Linked DNA regions of Diceros bicornis minor. The protein of the gene in region 1 interacts with the protein of each later gene in a pairwise test. Links are inferred from orthologs where the notes say so. Each region holds a gene or a part of one and is shown in the gene's direction. Other genes may lie near its edges.

Evidence for each region. The genes of interacting proteins can lie anywhere in the genome.
Region 2: the proteins of WAC (region 1) and DYDC1 interact in binary tests that used the Homo sapiens proteins (3 or more experiments, as listed by UniProt). The two-hybrid records come from large-scale screens. The link is inferred for Diceros bicornis minor from reciprocal best matches to the Homo sapiens genes WAC and DYDC1.

The regions. Positions count from the first base shown.
Region 1 is NC_080775.1:27,439,708-27,447,086, forward strand, and holds the start of WAC (WW domain-containing adapter protein with coiled-coil), read left to right. Parts: upstream 1-4,368; 5' UTR 4,369-4,398; coding exon of another isoform or gene 4,399-4,405; 5' UTR 4,406-4,407; coding exon 4,408-4,448; intron 4,449-4,806; coding exon 4,807-4,842; coding exon of another isoform or gene 4,843-4,843; intron 4,844-6,393; coding exon 6,394-6,608; intron 6,609-7,379. Other genes in the region: uncharacterized protein LOC131398901, read right to left, coding at 2,809-3,010, 3,780-4,368, 4,399-4,405.
Region 2 is NC_080745.1:5,133,725-5,141,559, reverse strand, and holds the start of DYDC1 (DPY30 domain-containing protein 1), read left to right. Parts: upstream 1-4,751; 5' UTR 4,752-4,883; coding exon 4,884-5,030; intron 5,031-5,477; coding exon 5,478-5,579; intron 5,580-7,835. UniProt on the Homo sapiens protein: Functions as part of axonemal radial spoke complexes that play an important part in the motility of sperm and cilia. Plays a crucial role during acrosome biogenesis.

The DNA.
Region 1 (7,379 bases):
GACTCCAAAGTTTGTAGCCTCAGCTGGAAGAATGCAGTTGCCATTTCATGAAATAGGGAAGATCTGATTGGGATTTGTTTGGGGGGAAAAATTAGAGTTTGGTTTTGGATACATTAAGTTTGTGAAGCCTGTTAGACAGTCAAGCAGTGCTATAGAGTAGGCAGTTCAGTGTTAAGTCCAGTATTTAGGGAAAAGGTGTGGGCTGAAGACTCAAATGTGGGTTTCACTTGGCTGGAGATCTGGATGGGACTGCCTAGGGAAAGAGAGTAGAGAGAGGAGAAGCAGTCCAAGTTGTGAGATTTGAATCCTGGGGCACTCCAGCATTTAGAGGGGGGAAACTGAGAAGGAACCAGCAAGGGGAGTAAGGAACAGCCATTTAGGAAGGAAGAGAAGCAAGAGTGAAATACAGAATGGAATCCTGGCAGGCAAGATAAGGAGCTTCAGGAAGGAGAGAGTAAGTCATCAGCTGTTTCAAATGCTGCTGACAGGTGAAGTGAGATGAAGACTGAGGGAAAAAAATGGATTTGAGAACATGGAGGCTAATGACGATTTTGAGCAATTTCAGTGGAATGTCAGGATCAAGTCTGATTTGTAGGTTCAAGAGAGTAGAAGTGGAGATGAAGTTTTTCTATACAGGAGAGCAGATCAGAGTAATGGGGCAGCATTTGGAGGGAGATACAAGTCAAGATTTTTTTTTTTTTGAAGATGGTAGCTATTAACACCTGTTTATGGGGCTGGCCCCATGGCTAAACTCAGCACGCTCCACTTCAGCAGCCCTGGTTCTGTTCCCAGGCACAGACCTACACTACTCGTCAGCAGTCACGCTGTGGCAGCAACCCACATACAAAACAGAGGAAGACTGGCACAGATGTTAGCCCAGGGTGAATCTACCTCAAGCAGAAACAGGAAGGTTGGCAACAGATGTTAGCTCAGGGTGAATCTTCCTCAGCAAAAATAAAAATATCAACACGTTTATAAGTTGACAAAAGTGATCCAGCTGAGAGGGGAAAAATTCATAAGGAAACTGGACAATTCCAAGAGTAAAATGGAACTCAATGCAAAAGGGGCAAGTTTGGTCTTAGATGGGAATTTTGACAGTTTATCTACAGTTACTGGTGTAGCAGGGTATTCAGATGCAGGAAGATTGGCAAGTGCCACAGTGAGAACTACTACTGATTTCTGTTTTCTTAGATAAGAAGCAAGATAATGATTTACTAGAGAGGAGTGGGATGTACAGTCAGGTTTAAAAGATGTTAAATAGTTGTTTAAGAAGGCGGGATAAACGGATTAGGGAAATTAGCCTGAGGGGGTCAGGAACACAAGGAGCTCACTTCAGAGTGCAGATGTGTTTTTCTCCAACCAAGTTCAATAGCTCTGCTGCAGGCATACAGTGAATTAACAAGGGTTCTGATTTAGGCACGTACAACAAAGGAAGAAGGAGGAACGCACTGAAGATACCTGCAGAGGAGGGTTTATAACAACAGATAATGCAGTCTAAGGTAGGCAATGAATCTTTAAAAAATGGGTATAGCATTCAGATGTGCCTTTTAGTAAATAGTCGATTCTCATTATTTGAGGTAGTTATGTTCTATAAAGTTACCATGAACCCTGAACTGCTCCTGGGGGAAATGCAGGGTTCAGTTCCCAAGAGACTCTGGTCACAACATTTTCATCAATACATAATGTGTTTCATGTGTTTCTGTTTAGACACCTTGTTTAATATATATTGTTGATTCATTAATACTGAACTCATTATGGCCAAGAGCACTAATGATAAGTCTGAAGGTAGCTTATCTAGGACAGTGTTTTCTCTGCAAGGCACATCACAGCCTTCTTGTGCTTAGGAATATCAGACAGCACTTCAGCACTATGCTTGGGGGCACTTAAAACAGCAAAACCACCAATAAATAGCACAAAAATGTGAGAAACATGATGATATGTATATTGTGAAAAGCACATCTGTCCACAGTATGAGAGCTGAAATAAGGCAGCAGAGTGTCCCCTTGCTTAACCTCAGCTGGACACATGCATGTCAGACAAGTTAAATTTTCTGTCACTCTGCGCATGTCCATGAACGCTGCACATACTGATTTTCAGGGTACAAATAAATTTTAGTAAGTAGGCGAATTCGCAAATATGGAATCTGTGAAGAATGAGGACTGAATGTACACTGCTTGGAACTGTTTCCTCCATAGCTAAGCCCAGTCTGCTGCTTTTAATCAAATAGTATACATCAATTTCAGTAGACGTCTGATTATCAAACAAAACAAATGTTGCTGTTAGTTGTCAAAAAGTTTCTACATTGATATATTATTTTCTATACTCTTCTAAGCTGGTGTCTCTTGTTTTCAATGTATTTGTTAGAAAAATGTTAGAAATTGCACATAAGACTCGAGGTTTTTTTTTTTCCCCTCATTTCACTCACTGGCAGTTTTTCCTGAGTTACCGACAGCTTACCGGCATGAAGTAGGCTTTTACTGGTCCTCACAAACCGCAATAATTTTAGTATTCAGCAGGCAGCTGTGACAAATAAGGGTATGTAATTCTTTCTTTCAAGCAGTTGTAACGTCAGGGTCTTTTTCCTCACATCATTCCATTTCTTCATTAGGCCCAACAACAAGATAACTTGTTGGATACCAAATAAATCAATTAGTTTTTGATATTGTCTTTTGGAGGGATCTTATTTGTGATGTTTCCTATTATACCTTTTTATTCTGTGTAAACAGTTGTATATTTATGTTTATTACAATCCTTTTAATTAAATTAATGTTGCCTTACAAGGAGTTTAGAGCAGAAAAAAAAAATTACCGGATTACTGCCACTCTCAAGTAAAGCTTCATTTTCTGGCAGACTTGACCTGTTCCCTCCCATTATGCCAGCGTTGCTACTGGGCCTGCAGCAGGACGGAAAATTCAATTTGCAGCCATTTCGTGGAGCACCCCCCATGCCTTTATTCACATGCAGAACTTCCAGAGGAATTTCACCAAAAGGCTCCAGCGAGGAAGAAGAACTAAAAGAGAGAAAAACGAGAAATAAAGGAGAGGGTGGGGAGGGCACGACTGGCGGTGGAAGATACTGAATGTGGAGGAGGCGATTGGTTCAGCATTTTCTCCCAGCAACCCATCCCCCTAAGGCCCCAGGCCCACCCGAGGTTCTACTTCACGGCCCGGAGCGGCGCCCTCCTCACTCTAGAATCTTCCCTCAGCGCGCAGACACCCGGCCTCCCTGCAGTCTCGAGACCCCCCCCCCCCCGTCGTCTCCCCTCCTCGGAAAGCTCGCTCTCCCGACGTTCCGGGGAGTGACTTACTGCCAACTGCCCTCGCCGGGCTCCGAGCAGCCCCCGCCCGCCGAAGGCCGGCCGCGCGCGCGGCGGCAGGGTGGGGGCAGGCGCCCAGGCCCCGGTTCCGGCTCCATGAGGGGCCCGGGGGAACGGTGGGCCCCCCGCCTCCCTGAAGCGGCTGCCGTCGCAGCAAACCGAGAGAGCTCCTTGACAGCCGTCCGCCCGCCGCTTGACCGGGGGCTGCCGACCACCCGGCCAGCGCCCGAAGGGGCGGGCACCCTTCCACCCCCGCGCCGCTGGGCGCACGCGCAGCAGCCGCCGCCTCCCTATTTAGTCCGCGATGGCTTCTCTCGCGCCCCACCGTCCTCCTCCTGAAGGCGGCTCCCTCCCCGCGCACCGCAGGGCCCCTGGGACCGGCCTCGAGCAGGTCCCCGAGCAGGACTATCCCTAAAAGGGAACGGCGCTGGCCGGACGTCGCGTGAGGAAAAGAAGCGGCAACCGGAAAGAGCTGACGGGTCGCGAGGAGGCGAAACAGGCCTCAGAGGAAGAGGAAGGCCGGGGCGAACCGAGGTTTGCCGAAGGCGGCGTTCCGGAGCTGCGCGGGGCGGGGAGAGAGGCAGAGGCTGGGAGAGGAGGGGCGCGGCGGAAACTGCCGAGGTTTGCCGAAGGCCGCAGCGGCCGAGTTGCCCGGATGTAGTTGGTGGAGCGGCAGCGGCGGCACCAGCAGCGGCGGTGGCGGCGGCGGCAGGAGGAGGAGGAGGAGAAGGACCAGGCAGCGGCGGCGGCGGGGGGAGGAGGGGAGGCGGCGGCGGAGCAGGAGGAGAAGGCGGAGGAGGCAGTCGCTCTCCGCGGGGCCGAGCCGGACGCGTCTTCTTGGCCCCCTCCCCCCGGTTCGCCGCTGCCGCCGTGTAGTTGGCGCCGCTGCCCGGGCTGAGTGTGAGCGTGGTGCGACCGCAGGGAGATGGCCCGGGAGCGCCGGCGCCAGTAACGGGGAGGTGCTGAGAGTCGCCGAGGGCGCGCCGGGCCCTGGTGCCGGTGCTGCCGCCCGCCCGCCCGCCGCCTGCGCGCCCGCCCGCCCCTCGCGGCCGCTCTCCGCCCCCCGACACACACTCACAGGCCGGGCATTGATGGTAATGTATGCGAGGAAACAGCAGAGACTCAGTGATGGGTAAATCGTCTTTTCCTTTCCGGCCGGGCCGCAGCGGGCGGGGGGCGGCGGCGGGGGGGCTGTTCCTCCTGAGCTGGTGCTGCCGCGCCGCCATTTTTGTTGTTAAGCCTGCTCGGGATCGGGCGGGGAGGAGGAGCCGCCGCGCGAGCGGGCGAGCACGGGCGGGTGCGGAGGGAGCGCGGGCCGGGGCGCGGGGCTTCGCCCTCTCGGGGCCGCCTGAGGCTGCGTGTGTGCGCGCGCGCGTGTGGGCTGGTCGCCGGTCCGCTCGGGAGGTCTCCCGCGGGGAGGGGCGGGGGGGGCGCGTTTTCTTCCTCTCCCCGAGATGTCTCATGTCGCTGCCTCTCTTCCTGTTTTTCAGCTGTCACGACCGGAGGGGGGACTCGCAGCCTTACCAGGTACCAGCCGAGCCCGGGGTGGGGGGTGGATGGGGGGACGGAGGGGGAAGGGAGGAACTGCTACTCGAGCGCAGGCTTCAGAAGTCGCTACAGGCCCTTCTGTGCAACAGATCCCAAACTAGCACCGCGGGGCCCCTGAAAATCGTGTGTTGGGTTCCCTGAGCGCTCTCCAGCGAGCGTTAGTGACTTGTTTTGACAGGTGACTGGAGGAAGTTCAGTTTTTTTAGAAAAAAATCATTCTCGGCCAGAAAAGACCTGACTTGATTATTTGGGCTTGAAGGAATCGGTGGGATGAGGTGCCTTCTGAACCATATTTATTTATTGTAGTGGGGAACTAAAAGTTAACGTAAAGATATTAAAATTAGAACTAAAAGTTAATGTAAAGGTATTAAGATTAAATGAAAGGTCTGGGAAGAAACAGCTAATTGATTCGCAACTCTTAAGTGTGTTGTAAACCCCTATCGCTTCCCGTTTTGTTTTTGGTGCAAATAATTGCCTGACTAGTGGAAGAGTGCTTTTGTTTCTGAAAGAATTGAGATCTTTGGATACTTAGACAACTCATTCTAATGTAGACAGTGCTAGGTATGTTGGTTCCTTTTTTTACAGCAGTTGCTGTGTGGAAAGTTTTTAAAAATTGTGTGGAAGTGGTCCTTTTTTTCAGGAGGAAAAACTTCATAAATGGTTGGTAACTATCAGATGACACCAGAAGTAAATACTTTCTACATCTGATCACTTAAAGGAAAGGAGAGTAGGTTTCTAAGCTGACAGTTTTGTTACTGGCTACCGTGAGTTGTTAAAGCTCAAGTTAAAAACCTTACGTCCCCTGATAACGTCAAAAACATTGTTTGTTACATTTGGATAGTCAAAAATTAAACGCTGTTGAATCTGCCCCTCTAGAACATAATTAATTATATGCTGTAAAAGACTGGTATATCATAGTTGTCTTAAATATGTTTTAGAATGAAACTAAAATCATTGTGAAGGGAGTTCCATTATGTTTTGTTAGAAATATCACACAACATTTTTATACCTTAAAATTGTATCCCACATCTGCAAGAGTTGGTTAGTTAGGTTTGAAGTGCTGTATTTGAATCAAAGAATTGGAGAGACTGATGCTTTTATTTTTTGTAGGTTTGCAGAAACATGCTTATGCTTACTTTTACTTGTAGTTGTAGAGCAGAGATAGCTTACAGTAGTACTGTTTGTACTTTTCTTTAAATTAAATTTTTTAGTTCCCAGAAAAATTTATTGAGGAATTAATGTACAGAGGTGTCTGATTTCTTGTATTTACGAGATACTTAATGGAGTGGATTTTTTTTCTTTTATTTTTTCTCTTTTACATAGGGTATTATGATTTGTGTGAGGAGTCTTATAGTAACTCTTAGGCATTTAAGACTTGTTTGACTAACTTAAAGGCAGAATTGAAAGTGGAAATTTTAATTTTATTGATATAAATTTATGAAACAATAAATTTAATAACATCAAATTTTATGATAAAATTAATTTAGGAAGTTAAGTTTAAAGTTTCAATTCTTTCTCTCTTCTTTTTGGGGGGGTGATGTTTTACAGGCACTTAAATATTCATCGAAGAGTCACCCCAGTAGCGGTGATCACAGACATGAAAAAATGCGAGACGCCGCAGATCCTTCACCACCAAATAAAATGTTGCGGAGATCTGATAGTCCTGAAAACAAATATAGTGACAGCACAGGTCACAGTAAGGCCAAAAATGTGCATATTCACAGAGTTAGAGAGAGGGATGGTGGTGAGTAGCTTTTTTGTTGAAACTTTCATGTATGTTTATTTTTCACAATAGCTCTATGTAAAACAATAGATAAACAAGGGGGTGGTAATATTTCCAGCTTGTGGACATTACCATATGGTTATGTCATCAAAATAATTTTATTTTTATCAACTTATTTGATTCCTAAGCAAGTTACTGTAGAAGTAAGGTGCTGACCTGAGGATCTGAAAATGGACTTCACTGGTTGATAATTAGAGAATGCATTGATGAATATAGTCTACCAAATTCTTTATTAAGGAGAGAAATGTACAGGACATTTTTCCAAGAAAGGAGCTTTAATCTTTTCAAATAAAGGTTTCAGTTTATTTGGCTTAGTTTATTTTGAGATCCTTGTTGCTACTTGAATTTATTTTTTAAGGAGTTCAAGTGTGTTTCCTAAGGATAAATTATGCAGTTAAAAACTTAGTATGAAAAAAAAACTTAGTATGTTTTTTGAGACAGTTCACAGGTTTAAAAAAAAAATTTGTGATTCAGAAAATTCCTTTTCGGTTTTTGTTGTAAACGTTTAAAATATTCTGTATTCTCCAGGGTCTTGTGAATAACCTAACTTCTATACCATGTTCATTGAAGTATTGAACTTTTTAAAAGTTAGCCTTTTGTGCAGTGCTGTGACTCTTCAGTTACCTTGCCTCAAGCTCTTTGTGGTACGAGGCTGAGAAAAAGTAAATAAAAATAAACTCAAAACTATTTTTAAACTTAATTTGCCCAAAATGTACCAAAATATCAGATTCA
Region 2 (7,835 bases), on another chromosome or scaffold:
ATACAACACAACGGACTTTGCAGATGTGATTAAGGATTTTCATTTGAGGAGATTATACTGGACTATCCAGGTAGGAACAATGTAATCAATCACAAGGGTCTTTATAAGAGGGACACAGTAAAGTCAGACAGAGAAGAGGGAGATGTGATGACAGAAGAAGAGGGAGAAAAGGTGATGTGGTTCAGAGCCATGAGCCAAGGAGTGTGGTGGCCTCTAGAAGCTGGAAAAGGGAAGGAAATGGATTCTTCCCGAGAGCCTCCAGAAGGAACCAGCCCTGCTGACATTTTAGTTTTAGCCCTGTAAGACTCATTTTGGATTTCTGCCTTCAGAAATTGTAAGAGAATAAAAGTGTGTTTAAAGCCACTAAATTTGGGATAATGGTGGAGGATGGGGATGGGGGTGCGTGATGTCTCCTTCTGCCAATCTGTGGCCCAGCTGAACCAGTGTGCCCAGATAACCTTCTCCACCCCTTTTACTCAAAGTGTGGTCCATGATCAGCAGCACCGCATCACCTAGGGGCTTGCTGAAACACAGATTCTCAGGTCCCACCACAGAGCTACAGATTCAGAGTCTGCATTTTAATAAAATCCACCCCCCCGGGGGGGGGGGATTCACAGTTACAGATCCACTTTGCCTCTGTCACTGTAGAACTGCCCTTCCCAGGGGGTGCAATCCCCAACTCTGCATTCCAAGGAAGCCGCTCCACTCCCAGTCCTTGGGCGGCTGCCACACTGTGTAGGTGTCACAAACCCTTCCTGGAAAAAGCATCTGCTCTAAATTGCATATTTCCAACAATGGCCTCCATGAAATATGCTGACCTAACAATTACTTAGAGGATGCAAAGACAGTAGAGCCAGAATAACAGAGCCACAACCTGAGGCCTGGAGAGGGAGGGGGCAAAGGGATGCCTTTTACAGCCACTCCCCACAAACTCAGGGCACATTCACAAGGGGAAGGGGCTATTTTTTGGAGTTTCCCAGACCTCCTCTGAAGGTCTGCTTACACTGGTCCTCCTTGTTCACAGGCTCGCACTCAGTAAGTAGGGCAATAAGCACGGTGATTGTCTTTGTCCACACCATATTCCAAGTGCCAGGCAGACCTAGGTGATCCATAAATATTCCTGATGTAATCAGAGGAGACTCTGCCGCTCGTGAGCAGAGGCAAGAGCTCCTGCTCCTTTCCGCCTGTCTGTGCCCACTCTGGCACTCACCACCTCAACCAATGTCTAGCTAGGCTTCTCCTGCCCCGCAATGCCCGGCACATAAATTAAAACAGAACATGGGAGAGCCCCCCCCCCCCCCCCCCCCCCCCCCCCCCCCCCCCGTGGCTTAGCGGTTAAGCGCGCTAGCTCGGCTGCTGGCGGTCTGGGGTTCAGATCCCAGGTGTACAACAACACACCACTTCTCTGGCCATGCTGAGGCCACGTCCCACATACAGCAACTAGAAGGATGTGCAGCTATGACATACAACTATCTGGGGGGGGGCGGGGGGCCCACCTGAGTTGGTTCTAAAAGGAACCAAGCAGAGGTCGCCAGCAAGTGCAAAGGTGCTGAGTAGTGAAAATACCGGGCCATCGGGCACTCGGGGCAGTCTCCTCCGCCCCTGGCTGTGAGGGTGTCCCGCCCTTCACCGACTGTAGCTCTTTGACGTTGCTCCCAAGAGCCAGCTGCCCCTTTATCCTTCCCAGTGCGCACTGGCCTAACCATCCCATCAATTCCTCTTTTCCGTTGCCCCCTCCTCACAGCCTCTAGGCTGCATGTCTCTGCTCACCCACCCTCTTGCTCCCTCCTCTCTGTCGCGACCCCTCCTCGCTGAGGCGCGTTCTCCCCTCGGCCCCCTCCGCTCATCCACCCACGTGCCCCCTCCTCTCTGGGGGCACGTTCTCTCCTCGGCTCCCTCCTCGGCGCCCTCCGCTCACCCGCCCGCGCGCCCTCTCCTCTCTGGGGGCATCTCTGGCACCCGAGGTGCGCGTGCTCGTTGCCTAGCGACGGGACGCGGCTCGCGGGAGGAGGGCGCGTGCGCGCGTCGGGCGTGGCCTCCTGAACGCAGGCGCGGGTTGGGAAGAAGGGTTCCTAGCGCTCGGCCGGGCTCTGGCGGCGCAGGCCGGTTTGGCCGTTGGACCTGGTGAGTGGTGTGGCGCTCGGGCGACGTTCCGGAGCCGGCCGCGGTCAGTTCAGCGCCGGAGGCTCCGCGGGCGCGTCGGCGGTTCCTCTTCCTCCTCCTCGGGGGCGAGCGGCGCAGCGCCTGCTGGAGGGCCGGACCTCCTTCCGCGGACCCGAGATGGGAAAAGGAAGCTGAGCGTCCCGAATCGAGGGTTGCCGGATAAAATACGGGACGCCCAGTTAAATTTGAGTTTCAGATAAGTAAGGAATAACTTTGTAGTACAAGTATAGTATAATATAGATCATTCGTTATTTATCTGAAATTCAAGTTTAACTGGGCGTCGTGTATTTTTATTTGCTAAATCTGGCAACCCTACCCAGATCCTCTCCTTTCCCACTCGGCTGGCCAGCTTTCTCCCAAGAATGGGCCAGGGACGTCTCTTTCTTGTGACAGCTTCTCCAGGCTTGTTTCTGTGAGAAGAGGCTTACTGATGTTGAGCCAAGATGCCTGTTGGTGTGTATGACGGATAACATTCCTTACAACAATCTTGTGAGATGGGTATTATTACCATTTCATGGACAGGAAACATGCCAGGTGAGATAAGGAGCCTCCCCGGGATCCCGCTGATAATGGGATGCAGCGTCTGAGACGGACCCTGGATGGGGCCCTACTCCTGGGCCAGAGGTTCCCCTTTCCTCTGTATTATCCCCTTGCTATGTGTTATCTTTCTGGAGCAGCAGGAGGCTATTCATTTTTTACGTTACTCCGCTTCTAATGACACTGAGATGTCAGTGTAGTTATTTTTGTCTTTAGAGCATATCCCAGTGAAGAAGTACAGTGAAGATAACTGTGTTGCAAACTCAGTTGTAATAATTCTTTTCTCTATGTCATTGAGACACCAATGCTAGCTTGATAGGGAATTAGGTTCATTTGTGCCAGCGTTCAGCTTTGAGAGTTTTTATGACTACATTTATGTGTACACACGTAGACATTGCTTTCCCCGCTGCTGTTGCTATCACGGAAGATGGCATCCTATGTACAGTTTCTGCACCTTGCTTTTTCCACTTCACACTATATCCTAGAGATCACCCCCTGTGTTAGAGATTCTCCTCATTCTCATTATTATATATCCGTGCAATAATCCATTGTGTTGCTGTATTTCATCAGTCCCCTAATGATGAACATTGGGATGGGGTTCCATTTTAGTTTTTCTAAACAATGGTGCAAAATAACCATTTGCATATATCACTTCATATTTTTTCAAGATAGGAGCCCAGAAATGAGATTGATGGGTCAAAGGGTAAATCATATGTAATTTTCTAGATATTGTCAAATTTCCCTCCAAAGGAGTTATGTCATGTTGTACTCTCACCACCATTGTATGAGAGAGAGCAGTATTGGGGTCTATGGATGAACCTCAGGAGGTCATTGTTTCTGAACTTTTATGCAGAATGTTAGGTGCATTTGTCCAGGGACAGGTCTGGACACACTGGCATTGTATCCCCAATAATTGCTCATGCCTGACATACAGTAGGTACTCATTATATATTTGTTAATGATTGTATTTCATCGGAGTCTGGATTCCATAAGGGTAATTTGAGGGTGATCAGTTTTTTAAACCTGAGATATAGTGGTTGCTACATTTCTTTTTTAAAAAAGTCTGGTCTAAGATTATTCTTGTCCATCTTCATAACTGAATAGACTGGGACATTACTGGGAGAGTGGAGGAACTCTCTCACTTGCCACCATAAAGAGCCAGCTGTGTCAGCCTTGTGATTAAAACCCTCCTTGAGGGGCTAGAGGAGCTTGTCTTCTAGTGGGAGGACAGACGTGCGTACAGACGGTGCTCAGGTAGTGTGACAAGGGCTGTGTGAGCTGCTTGGGGAAGGAGGAACTTTTTTATGTTGCCTGAGAAAGCTCAGGGAATGAGAGATGATCTACATCTTGCAGGTGAGGAGATATTTGCCAACTTGAGAGATTGTGAGGGATCATCATGTGCAAAAGTCGTGGAGATGCAAATGTGCGAGGTGTGGTCAGCAGAATGGCAGAATTTTCAGGATTTTCCGTGTAATTAGAGCCCAGGATATGCTGGGGGCTGAAGAGATGCCTGGAGCTGAGCCTGGACAGAAAACTGGAGCCAGAGTGTGAGGGGCTTTAGGTGCTGTTCTTGGAAGGTTGAATTTTTTTTGTTCTTTGGCCTTGCAGATTCAAGGACTTTTTTTTTTTTTTTTTGAGGTGGACTATTGTGACATTTTCTAAAAATGACTCTCCTGACTTGGGTGGAGCATCTTAGTACAGTCATTAAGTTCATGACTCTGGAATCAGGAGTTGCATGTGAATCCTGCCTCCACCGTGTGCCACCTGTGTGATCGTGGACTGTTCACCTGTGCTCTTTGTGCTGGGCTTCCTCACCTGCACAGAGGGATGATGACACCCATATTTCAGGTGTGTTGTGAGGCATTGTTGAGACAGGCATTGCTTGGCATATGGTCATCTTGCAATCAATAATGACAGTATTCTTTTTTTGACTCCTGGACTTGAGGGCCCATCAGGATTTGGAAACTGTTTTAGTTGTAGTGACTTCTGTGGAGCCTTTTTGGAAACCGTTAGAAGTTTCCTGGGGCCGTCGTGCTTGTACCATCCCTGATTGGAGGTGCCCCTGACTGGTGACAGGATGTAATGCTTTGTTGGCCTCACCGGACTCTACTTTTATTGTGCCTTAATTGAAAATGTTCTGCATTAATTCACAAACATTTATCTTTAAAAGTTAGGAGTTAGAAATGGAGTCGATATATCTTCAGAAGTACGTGGGGACGTGTCTAACTCAAGGTCTTGCAGAAGTGGCAAGAATTCGCCCTGTGGATCCAATAGAATATTTAGCATTGTGGATTTGCAAGTATAAGGAAAACGTGGCCATGGAGCAACTGGTAAGTATAGATCTTCTTTTAGAAAATTAGAAGAGTAAAATAATTGGTTCGGTTTGTCTGCTTTTTAAAAAAGGTCAATATTGTTATTTCTTTCTGTTATAAAAATACTATGTTTATTATACAAAAACTTGGACAAGATGAAAAAGTAGAAGAAGGAAACAATACCGAAAGAAGACCTCTATTTAGATTTTTAGGTATTTTCTTCTACTCTATTTTCTACACATCTGTCTATAGATATTTTTACATAGTTGTGATCATATTCAATGTATAATTTTAATTTTGTGCTCTTTATTTGAATAAAACATGCATTTCCCCAAATTATTATACAATTTCCAAATGGATAGACTATAATTTACTTATCCCTTTCCCTATTGTTGATAATTAAAATGCTTTCAAAATTATTTTGTCTCGAATTAGTCACGTGATATTGTTTCTAAACAATGCTAGAGACAAAAGGAAATGGCCGACTTGGAGCGTGAAAGAGAACTAGCTCTGAGGGAGCAGGAAATGATGGAGAGGCTCAGAGCAGAGGAGCTCATGTTTCAGCAGGTGAGACAAGTAACAGAGTTCAGAGGTGACTGGAATTAACAGTGTCAACCTCTGTTTGGTGTAACCCAAGTGCTGAAAAACTCCCCATCTCTGGTTATTTAGTGTATGGCTTTCTTATATCTTCATCTCTATGTATGTCTTCTTTGCTGGAAAAGCAGCAGCAGTGAGGTAGGAGGAAACCAAGGAGTGTGCCCTCGTGGAAGCCAAGGGGAGAGAGCGTCTCAGTGAGACCTTGGTGGTGAACCATGTCTATTGCTGGTTGAGTGAGAGCAGGACTGCACAGTACCCATTCAAGGCCACTGGTGACCTTGGCCAGTGTGGGTGGGGGGCGTACAGCAGGGGAGATGGTGAGTATAGATAATGCTTTCAAGGAGATTTTTAGGGAAGAAGTTTTTTTTTTTTTTTTTTTTTTTTAGGAACAGAGTGGAAGTGGAGAGGGAGTTGATGTTAAGAAATAGAGGGGATGATTTCTAGAGTCAGCTGTCCATGGAGGCAAAGCTACATTGAGTCTGGAACATAGGTTAGGCAGGTAGAAGGGAATTTCTTGATTCAAGGAAAGAGGAGAGGATGGTGTAGGTACATGTGGGTTATAGGTTTTGTGGCACAAAGTTGAAAGCAGTTTTCTGTGTGACTGTTCTTTATGAAGTAAGGACCATGATCACCTTCCAAGAATGAGGTGGTAGTGTAGGAGGTGTGGGGAGAGTGGTGAAGGTATGAAGTGGTAGCTTTGGAGCATGACAGAGAGAGTTGGCCAGGGAACCTTAGCATTACTTGGTAGCAATGAGTACCCTGATATGGTTGGAGACCAAGCATTTAAAATGTTGCCATTTGGTTTGGCTTTGTGATGATGTGATTTTTCTCCACTTAGGCCTAGATATCTGCGTGAAGATGTGGAAGAGGCAGACCCTTGACTGAAGTAGGTTTAGGGTAGCAGGACTGGGGAGCTGAATGTGTTGGTAAGAGTGGTTGAAGGGCTAGGTCATGGAGTATAAACTAGATAGAGGAAAGTTCCAGAGTGGCTTCTGCACTAATCTAATTTATGGAGAGCTTCTGAACTAAATGTAAGTCACCCCTCTAGTTCTACCATGTACTTAACTCTAGAGTCTCGACTCAAGTCTACATAGTTAAAAAGGGAAAGAAGCCTATTAGGCACCTTAGGTGGATGTGGCTGTTGAAAACTTGACTGCTTCTGAGTCTTCATTGTTCAGTCATTTGGCTTCTTCTTGTGGGAAGTTGCAAAGTGTGGAGTTGGATGTCAGTCATCTAAGTGGGCAAGTGTGTGCTGCAGTGGTCCCAACTTTGAGTGAGGAGCTGCCCTTCCTCTTGCAGCTCCTGTAGCTGGTGTGTGTCCCCCGTCTATCAGTTCTCCTTCCCCAAGACAATTACATCACAAAGGTGGAGATACTTAACTTTCTTTCACCCTTCTACTTTAACTTACTTAGATAAAATTTGACAGTACTGGAAATCACACATTTCTCTAACTGTATCATGTTGACCATATGAAGCAATCCACTGTGCATCGAACCCTAAGCATTGTATTGGGAGTGGAAGATACAATAATATTCTGCAAAAGATTTGGCCAGTAAAGAAGTGGATTGGTGGGCAGAAATAGATGAGAGAAGGAGAAGGGACATGTGGAGAGATGGACCAAGAGAGAAGAGCTTAGGAGAGAGCAAGGCTGAGATGAAGAGGAGCAGAGAGGCCTCTCCACGCCCCTGGGGTCAAGTGGGCTGGAGGTTCAGGACTCTGGCCGCCTCCCTGTTGGTTGCAAGAGCAGGTGTCCTTGTAGTCAGTACTGCTGACTTGAAGTTCCTTGACATTTTAGGCACTCTTTAGCAAGCCCTGGTCCTTGTGAACAGGCAAGTATTTTTATTGCTGTTTTCTACTTAAGAGCTTATTTATTTTTTTTTTTTGTGAGGAAGAGCGGCCCTGAGCTAACATCTGCCAATCCTCCTCTTTTTGCTGAGGAAGACCGGCTCTGGGCCAACATCCATGCCCATCCTCTTCCACTTTACATGGGACGCTGCCACAGCATGGCTTGACAAGCAGTGCGCTGGTGCGCGCCCGGGATCCAAACCAGCGACCCCTGGGCCGCCGAAGCGGAGTGCGCGCACCTAACCGCTTGTGCCACTGGGCAGGCCCCTGTGCTTATTTTTGAAGTAAAAGCTTTTTTGTTTTGTATTTGTTTGTGTACCTTTCAAATGGTTTTACTCATGTGTGAAGAAAGGAATTGGGTTTTGAAAATTTCCTGAAAAT